2 linked regions of the Arabidopsis thaliana genome follow. The protein of the gene in region 2 interacts with the protein of the main gene of each other region in a pairwise test. Each region holds a gene or a part of one and is shown on either strand. Other genes may lie near its edges.

Region 1 (3,411 bases), on a different chromosome or scaffold from region 2:
AATCATAACTAATTCAACAACTAATATTTAAACTTATAAAAAATTAAAAAATCATGAGACAAAAAATATAGCGGGACGGATTTAGATTGATATGAATAGCAGGACGGGTTTGGATTGATATAACACATGTTAAATATTTATTTTATTATTTTATCATCACCAATTTTTTTAGTTACAATATTAATATAAAATTATATAACTTTAATACTAAACTAAAACCGTAAAATTCATATTATTATATATATATATATAAAAAATATTTGTCCCGTGGTGTACCACGGATTAAATCCTAGTTTAAGATTTATTTTTGTATCATTTATTGGAAGACAGAACATTCAACATATAATAGATTCTGCTGATATGGTCTTCTTATTGTTTTACTTCTTTCTGATATATATACCATTTTCTGGTTAAAACAACTATTATGATATTAACAAAGGAAATTTCGTAAAAATTATACATAAGATAATTACTCGATCATAATTTCCGAAACATTAATAATTTTCTGGTAATAAAAAATATATATAAAAAATTGTGAATTGGGATATAGATGTGTTGGGTGGCCTAGACGAATAGGGAGGATATAAGAACATGTGCATGCACGTTAAGCTAATATACATACAACGTGCTGCTAACAAGCGATCAATTTCGACCACTAAACACTCCATTATGGCTACTTATTATATGTATAAACCTACCTTAATTAGTTAGGTACTTTTCACGTTACCTTGAAACCTATAAAATATAGACATACACTGATCAATCATATGCGAATGTTAAGCTAATTCTCATTTAATGATCAATTTATATATCTCAATTATCAGAGACGTACATATATGTCTAAGAGAATTTGTAAGTACAATGTTTCGTGTTGACGGCGATGGGAGATATACATTGAATCTATAGTCTCCGAGGATGTTTGATCAACATCGCTCCACGAATCTGCTTTTCTTTTTCTTTTCTTAAAAATAAACACATGACGAGAAAGAACATAATCTTTTAAGGTGCTTCAATCAAATCCACTCACTAAAATAAAAATCCTAAATACGAAAGTCCATAAATTCAAAGGAACACAGAAGATCACTGCATGTTCTTGTGTCTTTTTATATTAAGACCTTATCCCATTATCCAACATCGTTATCTACTTTGTCCAAAAAAATAAAACACCTAGAAATGCTTTTGTTATATCATTAGGTTATTCATATTTCTTAATTAGTTGCGCCGGGTTATATCAGCTGGAAATAATGAGATATATAACGACTTGATAAAAGCAAAAGCATTATGACAACCAAATAGTCATATTTTATCTATCATCTCCGTCGACAGTGGTGATCAATTCAAACTATATACATTGTAGCGAAACTCAAACACTAATATATTGTATGTTTCTAAATTAGTTTACGAATCAGACCAAAATTTTGGGAGAAATATAAAATAAGATAATTTTTCGATAGTTGTTTTGACTTTTGCTAACGCGCGCGGCATAATATGAATATTTTCTTTTTCATCTTATCAACCTATATATCTGTCTATTTCAATCGCTAGCGTCTTAATACACTGATTGCATGCTTATAAATTAGATTAAGAATTAATCTAGAAAGATAATGGCATAAAGATAATTATATTCTTCGTTAATGCCTGACTTTTTTTTTTTGGTTTGCTTCAATCCGCCCGACTTTGTTAATCTCAGAACAAATTGGCTGCGAAAGTAAAATAAAATAAAATGAAAAAATGGATAAAGCGCAACAAAGGAGGAATAAGACAGGGTGTTTAAGGTGATGTGAATGGGAAGAAAGTTGGTGTTATTAAGCATGTAAGAGAGTTGGGTAGTGATGATAATCATGTGAGTGCATGTGCATCGAGTTGTATTTTGATGACATGTCCTCTGATTTAAGCTAAACCCTAATTATCCATCAAAAACAACATTTAAAACACCCTTGTGGACACTTGTCAAATTCTCATCCAATTCTTTTGAGAGATAAAAGGAGAACCTTCTCAGAAGCTGTAATCTCCATTTTAAGCTATATATAAAGGTCACTGACCTCTATGTATGTCTATATAAACTAAGGGCGTCTCATACTCTCATATATATTTGCATCTAATCTTGTAAGCAAACGTTATCACTTGTCTACACAACATTCTTTCATTTACAATAATAATATGGGTGTAACATTAGAAGGACAAAGAAAGGAATCAATTTGGGTTTTGATGAGAAGACAAAGGGCTCGAAGGGCACTTGTGAAGAAGATCATGATCCGACCAAGGAAGAGTGTAGAAGCTTCTAGAAGACCTTGTCGCGCAATACACAGACGAGTGAAGACGCTAAAAGAGCTTGTTCCCAACACCAAAACATCAGAAGGTTTAGATGGACTCTTTAGACAAACGGCAGATTATATCTTGGCTTTGGAAATGAAAGTGAAAGTTATGCAGACAATGGTTCAGGTTTTGACCGAAACTAACTGTGTTTAAAAGCCTTCATATATTTTTTGTATATCTTGTTGGATTTTACGTTCTTTTTAGTTTTTATTTGTTCGTGTTTATTTTTTATTATCTCGTGTGATTGTCTTGTGTTGCTTATATAGAAAAGGAATTTGGTTTATCTTGCTGCTGTAGACTATGCAGAAAATTAAATATCAAAAATATATATGTATTATATGCTTATCTAAATAACAGATGACTGTTGGTTCGGCAAAAAAAACATGATAATTGTTCCATGGGAATAGTTTTTGTGTGCTACATTAGCAAAGAACAAAGGGTCATTTCTTAAAAAGGTTGTAAAGGAACTATGTTGTAAACATGATATCAATAAAATTAAGTTCAGTCGGTTGGAGAAAATACAAATGTAGGGAGGTAACAGGTATTTTTTACCAATAAAGGGACAAAACACTGTTGAAAAAGAATGTTTAACGTTGGGCTGTGAAAGTGCGTGGGCCACGAATTCAAATACCGAATTTTTAGTCCATATAGTGGAAGCATCCAAATTCGAAGTTCAGGCTCACCTTCGAACTTGTGAAAGTTTCAATATTTCTATTCATTTGAAAGTTCATAATTGCAAACTATGATTTGGAAATTACAGTGAAAGAACTTGAATTTTAGTCTTGAAATATCAAAATTAATCCTTAAACTATTTAACACAGTGAGTTAGCTATATTTTGTTTTTTCATTCGTGTTTTCCATATTATTTGTTGTTGACGTGTTGTTACTACGCTCTCCATTTAGGGTGTTACAAATAAATTAAAAATTGCGATGACCAAAAAAAAGAATATACCGATTATTTTCGAATAGTTCTAGGCATCAATAGTGGATATGCAGAAAATTTATCGAGAAGACTACTAGCTTCATAGTACGTATTATAACGATGTAATTTACTTTTCATTGTAATTCTTTCAAAGTAATTGGTAAAACTGTGTT
Region 2 (3,707 bases):
AGAAAATATAATTTTTAATATAGACAAATTAAACTACTTAGGTGAATAAATTTCTCTAGTAATATACAATAATTAAGTAGAAGAAGAAAAACTCCATCTCAAGTATAAATATTATCTTTGTTTTTCTTATAGTTATCGCTCTGTGTGTCGATCAAACTATGTTAGCAGGTTGTGGCCGAAAAGCTTTGTATATTTTAAGAACTCATTTAGGTCATACAATGATGTTCCCAAAATGGTACATATCTGATAAAAAGGATCTTGGTCTTTACTCTTTACTAATGCGTCGTTCAATCTCATTAGATCATTTTAAATTTGGGGTACACCTAATTTTTATAGTCATATAATCACATGGAGTTAACTTTACACTTTATAAAGAAATTATGGCATATAAAAAGAAAAGCTCTCTTTTTGTTCTTAGATTCAGTACATTTATATTTATGTGATGTAAGATGATGGGAGATCAACTTGTTGGGTGTTGCTGGTCACGACGAGCCTATGTGGAAGTATGGTTGGATATATGATGGGCTCAAAACTTGTAAGTTAGGTCATACCGGCCTACCAAACTAAGTAGGCTAGTCCAACGGATTAACAAACTGGCCCGTAAATTAGTCACTTTCGATATGCTCTCTTATTATGTATGATGTATCCAAGCAAATTTTGATACGTGTGAAACAATAAAAAGTTATATCTTTTTCAGAAACATCAATTATACAACAAAGAATCATAATTTTTCAGTGAAGAAGAACATCAATCAAAATCGATATTTGTATATACAGTAAAACAATTTCCTATAAAATGAATTCTGTAAAGTTTTTCCTAGGTTTATGTTTAGGGTTTCTCCGGGAAGTCAAACCGGAGTTTCTTCGCCGGCATAGGACTCATCACCTCTTCGTCTCCGTTGACCATCGAGAATTCCGGTATCGGCGGTATGTTGAGGTCAAACCCACGGTGGCCACTGCTGACGTGGCTTGTAGACCCCACATCTTCAGAATTCGACACGCTACTACTCACACCGCCTCCGTTCTTTCCTTCGTAGTGGCACCGTTTGTGGCCGCCGAGAGCTTGACCGGTGGCGAACGATTTATGACAGATAGAGCAAACGTGCGACTTCACACTTCCTCCCCCGCCACCGGATATACCAGACGTGGTTATCGCCGACGATGTCGACAGCTCATCTCCTCCGGCAGATTGAGTAAGCGAAAAGCTTTTCCGGTGACTTGCCTTGTGTCCACCAAGAGCCTGGTAAGACGAAAACGCCTTGTCACAGACGCTACACTTGTAGATCGGAGTAGGAAGAGGAGGAAGCAGAGGAGGTGAAGACGAAGAAGAAGGCAGGTCAAGGTCACGGTTTCTATCTCCGTCGCGAGCAAGAAGCATGAGACATAAAGCGATATATTCATCCTCCGTGAGACTCTGACGGTCGAATTCAGATCTTGATCGCTTAGATCGTTTGCCTTTGCTTCCATGAAACCCTAGTGCTGAATCTTGAAACAGAGTCGGCATCGGAGAAGATAATCTTGGAGAAGTAAGAGTTTCAAGTGCCATTATCTTGAAGACTAGCTACTAAGTTCTAAATTGAGAAGAAAGATAATTGTAAATGAAAAGATTTGATTTGAAGAAACAAGAAATGAAAGTGTGTGTGTTATATATAGTAAAGTCAGAGGAGTCTGAAGAGGAAGGAAGTTGCGTGTCGAGAGATGAGAAAGAGTTGAAGAAGAGTGAAGAAGTCGATAATCACTTTAATTTGATATATTTATTTTAATTATATATAATGTTGTGTGGACTAGAGATGAAAAGTGAAAGTATCTAAGTTTGGTTTGGGCACATTTGGTTTGACTTGGTACACGTGTTTGTGGAAGTCGGCTAAGAAGACTTGTTCTCATTTCTTTCTAGTAAGTAAGTAATGCCGCCTTCTTCAATTCTTATCACTTAAGAATATTCTAGAGAGCTCTCACTTAGGTGTTTTGCTGACCAACCAACCAACCAACCAACCAAGTGGAGATACAAAAGGCCAAATTAAGTCGGCTACTTAACCAGTTTTACTGTCTTTTCATAACTTATCGAATTAATACCTACTATTAATGTCTAAACCCATCAATATCAACGTAACCTTTTTAATTTTAATCTCGAGGCCCACTTGAGAGATGAATATGTAACCGCTTAAAAGGTGAGGTTTCGAACTTGGGTGAAAGGAATGACCTAGTGAACTAGTGCCACTATAGTGCCCCCCTTCTAATGTAACCTTTATCTATGTTTCTTCTTTAGGTTTGGCAAACTATATCATGTTGACAAATTTGTATTGGGCATCAGTGATTAAATCTATGATATTTTTAAAATTCATCTATTAATAAAGCATCCAACTAAAAACGAAGAAAAGAATGTTAGAATTAAAAGATATAATGATATAACAAAGGGAATGTTTCGCCAAAGTACGAAAAGAAAGGTTACTATAAACCTAGGAATAGACGAAATTTTTTTAACCATTTTATTAAGTTTATGGTTGAAATATTTATTAACAATTCCTCCACAAAAATTGCAAGTAGAACACTCGAGCCACTTCTAATTTTAACCACTCAAGCCATTTCTACATGATGACCACTCGAGCCATTCCTAATTTTAACGCATAACCTCAAAAAATAAAGAGAAGACAGAATTTAAAGCACAACCTCAAAAAACATATACTGATCAAATTTGTATATATAAATACATCAAAATCGCAATCTTTATAAATAAATAAATAAACAAAAAAATAAAAACAATCTAATTAACATCCCCAGAAAAACAAAATGAAACGTCTCACAATTGTTCTCATTGTTTTAGTGTTTTACATTGGAGATACGCATGGGAGAAACGTATTAATGATAGTAAACAGGTTACCAAAAAACGCAACCCTGAAGCTCCATTGTTATTCAGGGGACGACGATTTTAAGACCATGTACTTGCGTCACAATGATCCACCACAAACTTGGCGTTTCAAAGATGCTTTCTTCCATGAGACACAATTTATATGCAATCTACACCAGGGTTACCATTGGGCGCATCACCGTTCGTTTATAGCTTACAAGTCAAGTATGAACACCTCTCAGAAAAATAATGCAAATGCTACATGGTTCGCCGGTGAAAAAGGAATCTACTTGTCCTTTAACCAGAGGACTCCTGAATTTATGTACATCTGGATGTAAACCAATCATAACCAGTTGCTCTTAATTTTATGTTATAATTAGTATTCTTGGTTTGATGTCAATGTATAGTACTATATATCTAGGATAAATTAATAACACAGAATGTAATATATCGGAGACTCGAAAATATGTCATTACATATGAATGTTGGCTATATATACGTCATATTTTAATTAGGTCGTCGTAGTTTCGAACGGAAAAATTCATCACCATCTCCCTCCTCTTTCTCTCCAACATGAAACTTCTATCGTTTCCTCTTTTTACTTATGTTTGTTCCTTTTTCTTGATGGCTACTTATTTTTTCAAATATTATTTTCTAAGATATTTTATGAGAAAACAAAATATGTTCTAAATCATGGATTATTAATTAGAATATATATCTTTTTGTGATATTAGTAACTATTATATGTTTATGTCACTAGATTATATTTTTTTCAAAATGTATTTTCAACTTATCTTTGATTAATTAGTGAAATTTTTAAGCTAATTAAAACTAAATTTGAAATTATAATGAAACCTTTTATA

What was found.
Region 1: the proteins of ZAT6 (region 2) and UPB1 interact in a two-hybrid assay, tested with the Arabidopsis thaliana proteins (one large-scale study listed by BioGRID).

The regions. Positions count from the first base shown.
Region 1 is NC_003071.7:19,410,799-19,414,209, reverse strand, and holds UPB1 (transcription factor UPBEAT protein), read left to right. Parts: upstream 1-1,881; 5' UTR 1,882-2,160; coding exon 2,161-2,469; 3' UTR 2,470-2,780; downstream 2,781-3,411. UniProt on the Arabidopsis thaliana protein: Transcription factor that modulates the balance between cellular proliferation and differentiation in root growth. Does not act through cytokinin and auxin signaling, but by repressing peroxidase expression in the elongation zone.
Region 2 is NC_003076.8:1,215,493-1,219,199, forward strand, and holds ZAT6 (6), read right to left. Parts: upstream 1,871-3,707; 5' UTR 1,546-1,870; coding exon 829-1,545; 3' UTR 566-828; downstream 1-565. UniProt on the Arabidopsis thaliana protein: Probable transcription factor that regulates root development and phosphate (Pi) acquisition and homeostasis. Probably acts as a repressor of primary root growth and regulates Pi homeostasis through the control of root architecture.